2 linked regions of the Stegostoma tigrinum genome follow. The protein of the gene in region 1 interacts with the protein of each later gene in a pairwise test. Links are inferred from orthologs where the notes say so. Each region holds a gene or a part of one and is shown on either strand. Other genes may lie near its edges.

Region 1 (7,417 bases):
AGTCTACAATGATTGCACCATGTCATGGAGGTGGCCCCCACCACCCCATATGGTAATCAGGGAATTGGTAATAAATGCATGGCCCAGCTGGTGATGCTATCATCCCATGAAAGAAAGCAGAAATATAATCTGCATACATCCATGGTATTTTCTCCTATGTAGTTTTCTCCTCATCTTTCTTGGAGAGTTCAAGTGCATTTTACAGTGATCCTTCAGCTGACACAAGTAGCCATTCTTCATGTGTGTGTGTTTATTGTGTTTGGCTAAAGGCAATTCAACCTTGAAGCCATCACACTTGTGTGTAATACTGTTCTCAATTCAAATACACACTGACACAGCACATTTTGCATTGATTTGATCTATTCCAGACTCTTAGCAATATAGATATAAATGAGCTTTACCTCCAATTTACCAAAAACAAAAATAAAGACTGTCACTTCATCTGGGCACCTACCAACTCACCTTGATCTGTACTCTCTCAGTCTCTTCAAGCCACTTTAACTATTTATATTTCACAGACTTATGTTACTGAAATGATTTGTGCATATTCCAATAAGCAGAGTGAACCTAAGTTTTTCTGTTCTAAATGTTAGCACTTCAAGGAACAGTTTAACTGGAGCTGCAGTCCTTCTAAGGAATTACAGTCTGAGATCAGTGAAGTACGTGAATTATTGACAGTCATAGATTCTGTCTCTCACAGCCATGTTTCCCAAATCTGCCCTCCAATGTGAGAAGTCCAGTGTTAGAAGAAGTTTCTCAAAGGCTGGTTGCCCTTCCTAATGATTTTGGACTACAGTTGGCATTTAGTCTTTCCATTCGGAAAGGCAATGTCCAATAGGTGACCTTTTAACAAATAATAGTGAAAAATATCCTACAAACGCAATTATGTGAGAAGGTCAATGAGCCCAAAATGGTATTTTGAATTTGTATCAGGAATCCTTTTCACACAAAAGTCGATCAATGCTCAAATGGTCTCTGGGATAGGGCAGTGGGTGAATTAAGTGGGCTGAATGGACTACCTTCTTTGTAATTGCCCTGTGATTAGGGTTCAATCCCACAGATCACCTCTTAGAGAAGGTAACTGCATATTGTTTGCTGCTGCACCCCGGAGATGACAGAAGCATAAGGCGCCAACATCAAGGGTGTCACCCAGAGCTGGATGGATGGGTTTTGCTCTGGTCATGGTGACTTTTTGTTTGACATGAACATGGCATTGAAATAATCCATGCACCCACCCCAGCCTCTACACCTAACACTCAACAGGAAAGTTCACCTAGTCCTCTAGCCAGGTGTTCATTTCCAAGTATCAATCAGAATTTGTAAGAATTCCCTGAGGTCAATTTTCTTTCTAACCCTCTATCAATGTTAAATTTATCTGTTAATAATTTGGTCATATGTCCCTTTGACTTAGACATGCAACTTAATTCAGAGTAATTTTCTGGCTTTGCTTTTGCAAACTATTTAGTATCAGACTTTTCTGGAAATTCGACAAGATGTTTCAAACCGTTGTTTGACCCTATGAAATCATGGAACAGAATATTCACTCCCCATCTAAAAATGTGGTAAATTTAAGCTCTTGACCAATAAACAAAGACACCATTTTACATGAAACATAAAGCACAGTATGCGTTTACTGTGCTCAAAAAAGAACAGTAGATAGACCTGCAGCAAAGGACAACATTGGTCCAATATGAGAGTATCTCCTGCTGAACCTGTATTTCATACTTTTCACAAGGGTGGCTATTTACCTCCCCCCATCTATTCCCCTTTATATGGTACTGTCAGGCCATCAGCCAAGTTTCTGTACCAGCCAAATTTCTGTACCCCAATCCAATGCCCACTCATCCTGAGTGAGCTTTGAGAGTTGGCACCAACCAGCTATTAATCTGTGTGATGCCTCATAGCCAAGTTGAATCCCGTGATTGTGTGATGCAAACATACGTATACTTTCCAACACTTGGACCAGGCAGCCAGAACCTAGTGTCTCTGATCATGGCCCTACTCTGACTAAGATCAGCCATAGTCAACACAGACTGAGGATTGGAACAAAGACTTCCTTGGGCTCTTCTACCATACCCAGTGATCCACTGGAAAAACTCACATTTACACTACTAATGATCAGCTATCTCCTACTTGCTTCAAACAGCACATGCCTTCCACACTGAATGTGGTAAAGAAATAAAACAAATACCCATCCTTAAGACAGCTGTCCACATTGGAGGCATGACAATTTGCATTTATTGTCAAAGGGATTAGGCAACTCATGTAGGAGAGCAGGAATAGAATGTGACCCACATCTATGGATTTGATGCAATATTGTAGAGGGAAATATGGGAGATAATGAAGTTTTTCTGGTTACATTTGGTTTGTAATCTCAGACAAGCTCGCTGTTTTTGGCTTTGGCAAGTGTAGGGCTATCACTTGTGTATAAACTCAAAAAGAAAAAATAACACTGTGCTATAAGAATAAAGCAAAGGAGTAGGTCAAATTGCATAACTCCTTCAAAGAACCTGAATGGCCTCCTGTGCTGGAGTATCCTGTAAACCAATGCCACTTAAATCTTTATTGCACCTTTCTTATGATTTATAATATCTATAAACTCAGGCACTTTTGAATAGACCAAGTTAAACTTAAGCAGTTGAGTTACACTAAGACAAAGTTTAAGCCTGCATATAATTTATTCTGATCAATACAAAAGGCAGAAGACCATTAAAAAAAAATTGCAACATGCAGTGAAAAGTAATCCAGCAGGTTTTGCCAGTTAATGCTGTGTCCTTCCTAATCTATTACATTTAAAATCACTCTAGGCCCTTACTATAGTGAGTTGCTTTAATACAGTTTAACTGCTTTTCATGAATGGATGTTGATAGACATCAGACTTACCTCCACTCAGCACCTTTCTCCTTGTGCAAAAAAAGTAAAAGAATTCTTTGTATCCACCGTCAGATTGCTTGGCTGAGGACTGTGTCTGGTACAGCTCCACAATACACCTTGTGCTGATGTTTCCTGTCTGGTTATAGCAGCTGAAGGCAGTGGCTGAATTTATAATCACACATTGTTTACCTGTGCAAACACAATAGGCTTGCATCAGTTGACTTTTTATGTATCCCAGCCAGTGATTAACTCTTCAGTACATTTTTTGCTTAATTCAAGGAAGCAAGTTGAGACTGAAAACTATTTTGCCCTTTGGATGGGGTTGGGGATTGGGGCTCTGAGAGGACCTCCCTGCGGGTCTGCCCTTGGGTAAAGATAGCCATCTAGAGGTTCGGAGTGGGCATAATCCTTGGCGGTGGTCCTTCTGGCTAGACTGATTATGCCAATAGCTCAGTGTGGTTATAGAGGGGGTGTATGCCATGTCTGGCTGCATACCTGAGATTTTCCCCAAATAACAGGTTCAACAGGAACTGGACTATGCTGTGGGGATGGGAAATAGTATTGCTTTCAAATAATATTGCTATTGACTAATATTATTCTTAATTAATATTTCTATGTTGAAATGAAATGTTTGTATTTATAAAATTCTTTCCATGAATATTTCCATGTTCAGTTAGCAGTCAGGAAGGCAAACACAATGCTTGCATTCATTTCATGAGAGCTACAATACAAGAGCTGAGGCTCTATAAGATTCAAGTCAGATCTCATTTGGAATATTATAAGCAGTTTTGTGTCCTTTATCTAAGGAAGGATGTGTTGACATTTGAAGTAGTTCAGAGGAAGTTTAGAAGAATGACCCCAAGATGAAGGGCTTGTCATATGAGGAGTAGTTGAGGACTCTGGGTCTGTAATCGATGTAGATTAGAAGGATGAGGGGGAATATATTTAAGATAGAGTTAGGTATGTTCATGATTAATAAGGGGATCAAGGGTTTCTGGGAGAAGGCAGGATTCATAGAGTTGTACAGTGTGGAAACAGACCCCTCAGTGCAACGTGTCCATGCCAACCAGATATCCTAAATTCATCTGGTTCCATTTGCCAGCATTTGGCCCATATCACTATAAATCCTTCCTATTCAAGTACGCATCCAGGTGCCTTTTAGATGTTGTTATTGTACCAGCTTCCACCACTTCCTTTGGCAGCTCATTCCAAACATACACCACCTCTGTGTGAAAAATTTGCCTCTTAGGATGATTTTATATATTTCCCCTCTTACCTTAAAGCTATGTCCTCTATTTTGGACTCCCCTACTTTAGGAAAAAGACCTTGGCTTTTCATCCTATCTGTGCTCCTCATGATTTTATAAACCTCTATAAAACCACTCTCAACCTCTGACAACTCCAGGGAGAATAGCAACAGCCTATTCAACCTCTCCCTATAGCTCAAACCCTTCACCCTGGCAATATTCTTGTAAATCTTTCCTGCACCCTTTCAAGTTTAACGACATCTTCCCTTTAGCAGGGAGACTAGAAATGAATGCAATATTGCAAAAGTGGCCTAACCAACATCCTGTACAGCCACAACATGACATCCCAACACTGATACTCACTGAACTGACCAACAAAGGCAAGTCTACCAAACACGTTCTTCACTATCCTGTCTACTTGTGACTCTACCTTCAAGGTACTATGAACCTACACCACACGGTCTCTTTGTTCCATTTTAAAAACACATCAGCCATGATCAAATGGCAGAGCAGACACAATAGACCAAATGGCCTAATACTGCTTCTATATCTTATGGTCTTGTGATAACCAGGCGTATCAAAGTGTTTTATGGTATATAAAGTAGCGACATGGTGGATCAGTGATTAGGATGCAGGGACCTGCATTCAATTCTACCCTCGGGCAATTGTCTAAGTTTGCGCATTCTCCCTGTGTCTGCGTGGGTTTCCTCCCACAGTCCAAAAATGAGCCAGTTCGATGGATCAATCATGCCTCATTGCCCCTGATGTGCAGGCTAGATGGATTAGCCATGGAAAATGCAGGGTTGCAGGGACGGAGTAGGTCTGGGTGGGATGCACTTTGTAGGATCAGTGTGTCTTGATGGGCCAAATGGCCTGCTTCCACTCTGTAGGGATTTTATGATAGTACCTTTTGATGTGTAGTCACTGTTGTAATGCGGAAATGTTAGTCCTCTATTTGTTGTATCCCTCCGAAAGAGATACACTCATGCTTTTCTAATCTCACTGGGACAACCCGGAGTCCTCTTATCAAATTATGGATGAAAAGCGTAGATGGTACATAAATAGAAATGGACTGAATTTAGAGAATTGGCAATTCATAAAGACGGGGGAGTTTGAAATAGCACCAAGAAATGGATACGGGGAGAATTTCTTTTAAATGAAAAGGATTGAAAAAGCATCTAGCTTGAAAGAAATGAGAGATGAAGCGATTAAAACTGTAAAGAGATAGTTAATTGCAATCTGAGTAGGGGCCTTTAAATACCTAGAGAGCAGAGGAATAAAGAGTTCAGTAAGGAGTTCGATAATTCACACTTTTTTGGGATAGAATGGATTAGGAAGAAAACTGGGAGGGAGGTGCTTCACTGGTTCTTGATGAGCAGAAACTGGGTGCAAGAACTCTTAATTTTAATGCACGTTATTTCACTCCCAATCAGCTTGACCAAGCATCACTCAGCAGCTGGAGAACCTGGTAGTTTAGGTCACTGGGGTTTTGATTGATATGGAAATCTGGGTTCTGTGATGTAGATAGGATCCCGATCGTCATTGTGGAGTTGAGTTGCACTGTGTAAGCTATTGTCGAAAAGAACAAGACCACAGACAACATAGTGTGGAGGAACACAGCATCAGAGGAGCAGGAAAGTTGACATTTTGGGTAGGGACCCTTCCTCAAATATGAGGAGGGGGAAGGGAGCTGGGAGATAAATAGAGAGAGCAGGGGTGGGCCTGGGGAAGGTAGATGGGATGGTGATAGGTGGATACAGGTAGGGAGTTGTGTGGATTGGTCAGTGAGATGGGTGGGGTGGATAGGTGGGAGAGAGGATGGACAGGTTGCATCAGGTCAAGGAATCAGGAAGGAGGATGAGTGGGGCTGGGGAAAAATAGGTGGGATGGTGACAGGTTGGATGCAGGTAGGGGCTAGTGGGGATTTGTTGGCAGGAAGGGTAGAATAGGTAGGTGGGGAAGAAGATGGACAGGTTGTGTCGGATCAAGGCGGCAGAATTGAGAGGGAGAGTTGGACATTGGATGAGGGTGGGAGTGAGGAGATTTTAAAACTAGTGAATTCTATGTTAGGGCCATCGGGCTGTAGGCTCCTGAGGCAGGATATGAGGTGTTGCTCCTCCATTTTGCGGATGGTGACATTGTGGCACTGGAGGAGGCCCAGAATGGTCATGTCATCAAGGGATTGGGAGGGGGAGTTAAAATAGTTGGTGACCAGAAGGTGTGGTCGTTTGTTGCATACAGAGCACAGGTGCTCTACAAAATGGACCCTGAGTCTATGTTTCATCTCACCAAAGTAGAGGAGGCCACATCGGGAGTGACGGATACAGGAGACCAAGTTAGAGGATGTATAGGTCGAAAGTGAAAGCTTTGCTTTGGGTCTTGAATGGAGGTTAAGAAGGAGGTGTCGGGGCAGGTGTAGCACTTCCTGCGGTTGCAGGGAAAGGTGCCGGGTGTTGTGGGGTGAGTGGGAGCGTGGAGCAGACAAGGAGCGAGTAATCCCTACGGAAAGTAGATAGGTGTGGGGAGGGAAATATCTCTTTAGACTTAGGGTTGGATTGTAGGTAACGGAAGTGCTAGAGAATAATTCATTGGAGGTACAGGTTGGTGGGTGGTATGTGAATTACTTTAATGGATCCAAAAGGAGTTGAATTGCTGTGCAAGAGTTATAACTCTTCTTCTTACTCTACATTCGAAAGCCTCAACCCTAATCCCTTAGCAACATACTTTGCTATTGACCAGCAATAATTAGAATCCACCCAAGTAGAATGAGTCATGGCTAGAATTTTCGATTTTCTCAATTTATAGGGCTTAATTTCTTGGTACATCTTCCTCATGACTCTTTCAGCTCCTTGCCATTAGCTATAGTGCTGTTGATGAGATTGGAATTGTTCGCTAATACACTGTTCATATTGTAACATATTTTCCCTCTGGGGTTGTATAAAAATTGTATTGACGTTTGATGTGCGCCAAATCTCAGGGGTTAACTCCACAATTTCAATGAAACCATGCAAAATGCTTTAGGCAACTTTGTAATTTAAACGATCAATTTAGCCAATATGTGACATAAGACATGCAGGCTTATTGTAGTGAAAATAATGTCAGTCTCTCTGGCTCCTCTTCCTCCTGAACAAATACATTTCATTCAAGGTGTTGCAACTTTTAACATCCTGACTGGTCCGATTTGCTAATTTGAGTTGGAATGTGAATCTTGCACATTCCGCTGAGATTAAAATCCAACTTGTCATGATGCAAGAAGTGGACAAGAAAAAGACCAATTTTTAGCTCAATGAATGGATG
Region 2 (7,978 bases), on another chromosome or scaffold:
TTCCCTCAGCCTTTCCCTCCCTCTGTGTGATTTCTCTCAGTTCTCCCCTCTCCCTCACTCTGTCACTTCCCTCTGTCTCCCCTCTCCCTCACTCTGTCACTTCCCTCTGTCTCCCCTCTCCCTCACTCTGTCACTTCCCCCTGTCTCCCCTCTCCCTCACTCTGTCACTTCCCTCTGAGTCCCCTCTCCCTCACTCTGTCACTTCCCTCTGTCTCCCCTCTCCCTCACTCTGTCACTTCCCTCTGTCTCCCCTCTCCCTCACTCTGTCACTTCCCTCTGTCTCCCCTCTCCCTGACTCTGACACTTCCCTCTGTCACCCCTCTCCCTCACTCTGTCACTTCCCCCTGTCTCCCCTCTCCCTCACTCTGTCACTTCCGTCTGTCTCCCCTCTCCCTCACTCTGTCACTTCCCTCTGTCTCACCTCTCCCTCACTCTGTCACTTCCCTCTGTCTCCCCTCTCCCTCACTCTGACACTTCCCCCTGTCTCCCCTCTCCCTCACTCTGTCACTTCCCTCTGTCTCCCCTCTCCCTCACTCTGTCACTTCCCTCTGCCTCCCCTCTCCCTCACTCTGTCACTTCCCTCTGTCTCCCCTCTCCCTCACTCTGACACTTCCCCCTGTCTCCCCTCTCCCTCACTCTGTCACTTCCCTCTGTCTCCCCTCTCCCTCACTCTGTCACTTCCCTCTGTCTCCCCTCTCCCTCACTCTGACACTTCCCTCTGTCTCCCCTCTCCCTCACTCTGTCACTTCCCTCTGTCTCCCCTCTCCCTCACTCTGACACTTCCCTCTGTCTCCCCTCTCCCTCACTCTGTCACTTCCCCCTGTCTCACCTCTCCCTCACTCTGTCACTTCCCTCTGTCTCCCCTCTCCCTCACTCTGTCACTTCCCCCTGTCTCCCCTCTCCCTCACTCTGTCACTTCCCTCTGTCTCCCCTCTCCCTCACTCTGACACTTCCCTCTGTCTCCCCTCTCCCTCACTCTGTCACTTCCCCCTGTCTCCCCTCTCCCTCACTCTGTCACTTCCCCCTGTCTCCCCTCTCCCTCACTCTGTCACTTCCCCCTGTCTCCCCTCTCCCTCACTCTGACACTTCCCTCTGTCTCCCCTCTCCCTCACTCTGTCACTTCCCCCGTCTCCCCTCTCCCTCACTCTGTCACTTCCCTCTGTCTCCCCTCTCCCTCACTCTGACACTTCCCTCTGAGTCCCCTCTCCCTCACTCTGTCACTTCCCTCTGTCTCCCCTCTCCCTCACTCTGACACTTCCCTGTCTCCCCTCTCCCTCACTCTGTCACTTCCCTCTGTCTCCCCTCTCCCTCACTCTGACACTTCCCTCTGTCACCCCTCTCCCTCACTCTGTCACTTCCGTCTGTCTCCCCTCTCCCTCACTCTGTCACTTCCCTCTGTCTCACCTCTCCCTCACTCTGTCACTTCCCTCTGTCTCCCCTCTCCCTCACTCTGACACTTCCCCCTGTCTCCCCTCTCCCTCACTCTGTCACTTCCCTCTGTCTCCCCTCTCCCTCACTCTGTCACTTCCCTCTGCCTCCCCTCTCCCTCACTCTGTCACTTCCCTCTGTCTCCCCTCTCCCTCACTCTGACACTTCCCCCTGTCTCCCCTCTCCCTCACTCTGTCACTTCCCTCTGTCTCCCCTCTCCCTCACTCTGTCACTTCCCTCTGTCTCCCCTCTCCCTCACTCTGACACTTCCCTCTGTCTCCCCTCTCCCTCACTCTGTCACTTCCCTCTGTCTCCCCTCTCCCTCATTCTGTCACTTCCCTCTGTCTCCCCTCTCCCTCACTCTGACACTTCCCTCTGTCTCCCCTCTCCCTCACTCTGTCACTTCCCCCTGTCTCACCTCTCCCTCACTCTGTCACTTCCCTCTGTCTCCCCTCTCCCTCACTCTGTCACTTCCCCCTGTCTCCCCTCTCCCTCACTCTGTCACTTCCCTCTGTCTCCCCTCTCCCTCACTCTGACACTTCCCTCTGTCTCCCCTCTCCCTCACTCTGTCACTTCCCCCTGTCTCCCCTCTCCCTCACTCTGTCACTTCCCCCTGTCTCCCCTCTCCCTCACTCTGACACTTCCCTCTGTCTCCCCTCTCCCTCACTCTGACACTTCCCTCTGTCTCCACTCTCCCTCACTCTGTCACTTCCCCCTGTCTCCCCTCTCCCTCACTCTGTCACTTCCCTCTGTCTCCCCTCTCCCTCACTCTGACACTTCCCTCTGTCTCCCCTCTCCCTCACTCTGTCACTTCCCTCTGTCTCCCCTCTCCCTCACTCTGACACTTCCCTCTGTCTCCCCTCTCCCTCACTCTGTCACTTCCCTCTGTCTCCCCTCTCCCTCACTCTGTCACTTCCCCCTGTCTCCCCTCTCCCTCACTCTGTCACTTCCCTGTCTCCCCTCTCCCTCACTCTGTCACTTCCCCCTGTCTCCCCTCTCCCTCACTCTGTCACTTCCCTCTGTCTCCCCTCTCCCTCACTCTGACACTTCCCTCTGTCTCCCCTCTCCCTCACTCTGTCACTTCCCCCTGTCTCCCCTCTCCCTCACTCTGTCACTTCCCCCTGTCTCCCCTCTCCCTCACTCTGACACTTCCCTCTGTCTCCTCTCTCCCTCACTCTGTCACTTCCCTCTGTCTCACCTCTCCCTCACTCTGTCACTTCCCTCTGTCTCCCCTCTCCCTCACTCTGACACTTCCCTCTGTCTCCCCTCTCCCTCACTCTGACACTTCCCCCTGTCTCCCCTCTCCCTCACTCTGTCACTTCCCCCTGTCTCCCCTCTCCCTCACTCTGACACTTCCCTCTGTCTCCCCTCTCCCTCACTCTGTCACTTCCCCCTGTCTCCCCTCTCCCTCACTCTGTCACTTCCCTCTGTCTCCCCTCTCCCTCACTCTGACACTTCCCTCTGTCTCCCCTCTCCCTCACTCTGTCACTTCCCTCTGTCTCCCCTCTCCCTCACTCTGACACTTCCCTCTGTCTCCCCTCTCCCTCACTGTCTCTACCTGGCTTGCTCTATCTCCAACCACATTTCTGGGTTTTCTCTCTCCATCTATGTCATCCATTCCCTCAGACTTCTCTCTCTCCCCGATTTCCTTTTGCTGCTCATAGAACATAGAACATTACAGAATAGCACAGGCCCTTCGGCCCTCGATGTTGTGCCGACCTGTCATACCGCTCATTTGAGTCAAAGTCTTTCCTTGTTTATCAGGCTGATTCTGAGCTCTTGGTTTTAATCTTCTTCAGACAATATTCCTCTTGTATTTGTCACTCCAACTTCAGCTGCTAGTCAAGCTGTCCCTTACCGTCCCCCTGTGTCTATTTATCTTGGTCCCTCTGTGTCTATTCTTCATGTATTGCCCGTCTCTGCGCGGCCTCTCTCTATTTCAATGTTTTATCAAGACCTCTTTCCTTTCATTCTTCCTTCCATCTTTCCTTTCATTCTTCCTTCCATCTTTCCTCTTTATGATCTATTGAACTTGCACGCTACCTTCTCTGAGTCGTCCAAACCCCGTTATGCTGCAGCTTTCCGTAGTTCTTGCCTGTTTAAATGATCATTATTCTCGTATTCTTCCTGTCAAAGTGCATTAACCCATAATTTCCCACATCACATTCCATCTACAAAGTTGCTCTGCCACTCAATGTCCTCTCAATACCTGAACTTTATCCCTAATCCTTCCATTTTGTCCAACTACTAGAAGACTATCTTCAGTCCGTGCTCACGAAACACCCGTCACCACTGGATCTTCTCTTACAAAGTATCCTTACGCGTGGAAGCTTATTCAATGACCTTTTTTGTTTGGAAATTCAAATATATTTTGGACACTGTTTCCCCTTTGTTGCACCTTACTTAAACAATTGATATCAGTGCCTATGCATAGAATCACAGATACCTAGGAGCGAATCTAATCAAGGTGCTCAGATGATTTATAGGTAAAATCACAGAGACCTGGGATTGAGATAGAGATTGTAATCTAATCGAGGGGTTCGGGGTGGTTTGTACAGAGAAGAAGATACCCCGGGAGGGAGTGCACTGCATTGAACCGTATGTTTATGAAGCTTGTAAAACCTGTATTTGGAATGCCATGGGAACCCAGTTTCAGGAGGTTTGGGGCTAGAAGGAAGATTTCTGAGGCTGGAAAAGGGCCGAATGCAGAATGGAAAGTTGATGCATTTGTTGCGGGGTTTTTGTTTGAGTGACTAAGGGATGGGTGTGCTGTTGTCCCGCCAGCTGTACATTGGCAGGCGCCTGGCCCATTCTTTCCTGACCTTCTCTGAACAAGTTTCCCAGCAGCTGAGCTGACTGAGAGAGGTGGACGGGATGTGTAGAACTCGGGGGAAGGGGGGGGGGGGCGCGTCCTGTCCATTCTCAGGGGAAATGATGGCAGGGGGAAGCGGATGGAGACTGCGACGGTCCTATTCCCTTAACCAGCTCGCCCTGCCTCTCTTTCCCCAGGGAAGCGGAATGTCCCTGGCCTCCTCCAGCTCCTCATCCCTGCAGTATCTTCAAGCGTCGCCGCCGCCTCCCCCCCCCCCCCCCCCCACACCCCACACCAACCTTGTTGCGACAGTTCGCCTCTCCCAGCTGCATTGCCCCGGGGTGGGGAGAGCTGGCCGTAGATTCGCTCTCTGCCATTCCAGAACGACATGTTGGCCAGCTTTTTCTCTCTCTCATGCAAACACACACACACACACACACACACACACACACAGGCTGCAAAAGAGCAGCGCTCGGTGCTCAGAGAACTGGGACCTTAGCTGGGGCACAGTGTGGACGGCAGCGCGGATATATGCCAGTCCCTAGAGCCTGTGGCACCAGCTTCCTGACTGCCTGCGTTGTCAGCTACAACAGCACAGTGTTCCCCCCCCACCCCACCTCCTGTGCAGGGCAGGGCTTGGGACGGCGACCTGATGCCTGCCTCCCAGCCACCTTCTATAAGAAGCTCCATCTCCCTCCGTCCTTCCCACCCTCCCATTTGTCCTCGATTTCCAAAACTCAAAACTGGTGGAGGTCGTGGATTTGTCAGAGGCACGCACTCACAGACAGACACACACACGCAAAAGACAGAGCATGGCTTCATTGAGACGTGCTTTCACGTCGTTTCTCATCCAGGACATCTTGTCGCTTCAGGAAACTTCACCAGGCAGCTTTCCCAGGGGATTCCGTGGGAGCAGGGAGGAGGCAGGACAGCCCAACGCGGAGCCCCGCTCCCACAGCGGCCTGGAGCTGGCATTCACAGGTCAGGCTCTGGGGAGCTCAGGTAGGTTGGGGTGGGGGTGGGGGGGGGGGGGTGGGGGGTGCGGCTAGGGACCCCCCTCAGGCTCAGACCTCAGGTCACACCGCTCCATCGCCGCTGGACCGAGTCAGTGCAAGGCGAATTCAGGATATCTATCCAAATTCAGTTCACATTGGACCCCAGCTCTAAGTCAATCACGTCCCTACCGTGGGGAGACTGAACCTAGCCTCTGTGTCTGTGTGTCAGGGGTTTCTTCTGTTTCTTTCACACCTCCAAAATTTGTCCCGGGCCCTCTGTTAAAATGCTGTGGTTTTGAGTCAATGGGCTGGGTCAGGCACGGACTGGGGCCTGAGGGACGGGCGGGAGGGTGGGGAAGAGGATGCAATCTCAGAGTAACGGATCACTCACTCGACAAAAAGCAGGAACCTTTTTTTGCTTTCTCTCTGTCGTGAAGTGAAACTGACCACATGAGCGCTGCATGGGATGTATTGTTCAGTATGATCATGTCTGAGAGAAACAGGTTTTTAATCAGCAAGGCTGATAAGGATGTTGCCAGGGTTGGAGGGTTTGAGCTACAGGGAGGGGCTGGATAGTCTGGGGCTATTTTCCCTGGAGGATTGGAGGCTGAGGGGGTGACCTTATAGACGTTTATAAAATCATGAGGGTCACGGTTAGGGTGAATATCTAAGGCCTTCTTCCCTTGGAGGGGTAGTCCAAAACTCGACTGCACAGATTTTCTGGTGAAGAGGGGAAGGATTTAACAGGGATGTGAGCGGCAATTTTTCCACACAGAGGGTGGTGCGTGTATGGAATGAGCTGCCAGAGGAAGTGGTCGAGGCTGGTACAGTTACAGCATTTAAAAGGCATTTGGGCACGAATGGGAAGGGTTCAGAGGGAGATGTGCCAAATGCAGGGAAATGGGAAATACTTTAGCTTGGGAAACGTGGTCAATGTGGATAAGATGTTTGTTTCCGAGCTGTGTGACTCCAGGACTCTCAGACCAGGTCAGACGGAACATGGGAGAACAGAGGTAGCTTTGAGGGAAAGATCTTAGATTCTGAGAGCCTCACCCGAACCATAATCCCAACCCAAACCGTTACCCCCACCCTGTGGCTGAGGATGGTGTGTTTGCTCTCAGACGAGGGAGTCACTGCCTGAAAACAAGGGCTGAGCCATTCAGAACAGCCAGGAGATACAGAGTGTTTTGTTCTCATCTCCAGGAGGCTGCTTAGCTCTCTCTGGGAAAAGGCTCCACAGGTGGAGGCTCTGCCGATGATGGAGACAGAGATGCCGAGGTTCTGGTGGTACAAGGGGCAGCCGGGAAGATCTGACTGACTGGTCGAGCAGGCTGCTGGGGGGAACAGGTGATTGTGACCACGACCCCAAGCACAGGGTAGGCCCAGCCTGCTACTGATGTTTGCTGACTCCTCAGCCCAGAGCTATCATGGACTAGACTGGCAGAAGGTTCTCCTTCTGGGCCATTTATTCAATGGGTTGAGAAATCATTGGGAATATTGCCATAGAAATGCTGAGATTTGCAGCGTGTTCTGCGATAGGGTGAAGTTCCAGATCCGGAGCATTGTGGGGTCCCTCAAACTGGGGCCATCATTGTCCCCCTCTCAGAGTACACCCAGCCTCTCTCGCTGTTAGACGAGTGCATTCCTGCGGGTCTCCAAGAATCAGCACCAAGCCTGCAGTGCTGCAAGCCCACACCACACAGTTCTGACTGACTGCAACCCAACAGTGGAACACGAACCTGGAATTTGGATGGCAGCACATGGACCTTGTGATGGGACTGGACCCAGAATGTTCACAATGTATGTGACTGACCAATGAGAGAATCATCAAGGGACAGGAGTGACACAAGGAGGGGGGACTGGAGCTGCGAGGGATAATATAGAACTGATATAGATGGGGAAGTGAAGGAGTGAGATGCTGGCATGTGCCAGTGGGCGAGCGTGAGGAGCAGACATATGCCAGTGGGTGAGTGTGAGGAGCTGGCATGTGCCAGTGGGTGAACGTGAGGAGCTAGCACGTGCCAGTGGGCGAGCGAGAGTTGGAGATGGCATGTGGCAATGGGAGAGCGACTGGAGATGGCCTCTGTCAATGGGAGAGTGAGTGGTGGAGATGGCGTGTGACAATGGGAGAGCGAGCGGAGATAGTGTGTGTCAATGGTAGAGCAAATGGAGATGGTGTGTGTCAATGGGAGAGTGAGTGGTGGAGATGGCGTGTGACAATGGGAGAGCGAGCGGAGATAGTGTGTGTCAATGGTAGAGCAAGTGGAGATGGTGTGTGTCAATGGGAGAGCGTGTGGAGATGGCGTGTGTCAATGGCAGAGCGTGTGGAGATGGTGTGTGTCAACTGGAGAGCGACAGGTGGAGGTGGCATGTGTCAATGGGAGAGTGTGTGGAGATGGCGTGTATGAATGGGAGAGCGAGTGGAGATGGTATGTGTCAATGGGAGAGCGTGTGGAGATGGCGTGTATGAATTGGAGAGCGAGTGGAGATGGTGTGTGTCATTGGGAGAGTGAGTGGAGATGGAGTGTGTCAATGGGAGAGCATGTGGAGATGGACTGTGTCAATGGGAGAGCAAGTGATGGAGATGGTGTGTGTCAATGGGACAGCGTGGAGATGGTGAGTGTCAATGGGAGAACGTGTGGAGATGGACTGTGTCAATGGGAGAGCAAGTGATGGAGATGGTGTGTGTCAATGGGACAGCGTGGAGATGGTGAGTGTCAATGGGAGAGCGAGTGGAGACGGA

The links. The genes of interacting proteins can lie anywhere in the genome.
Region 2: the proteins of SAM pointed domain-containing Ets transcription factor (region 1) and homeobox protein Nkx-3.1 interact in a two-hybrid assay, tested with the Homo sapiens proteins (2 studies listed by BioGRID). The link is inferred for Stegostoma tigrinum from reciprocal best matches to the Homo sapiens genes SPDEF and NKX3-1.

Annotation. Positions count from the first base shown.
Region 1 is NC_081374.1:38,396,637-38,404,053, reverse strand, and holds the start of SAM pointed domain-containing Ets transcription factor, read right to left. Parts: upstream 3,003-7,417; 5' UTR 2,884-3,002; intron 1-2,883. UniProt on the Homo sapiens protein: May function as an androgen-independent transactivator of the prostate-specific antigen (PSA) promoter. Binds to 5'-GGAT-3' DNA sequences. May play a role in the regulation of the prostate gland and/or prostate cancer development.
Region 2 is NC_081393.1:5,424,149-5,432,126, forward strand, and holds the start of homeobox protein Nkx-3.1, read left to right. Parts: upstream 1-4,965; 5' UTR 4,966-5,052; coding exon 5,053-5,242; intron 5,243-7,978.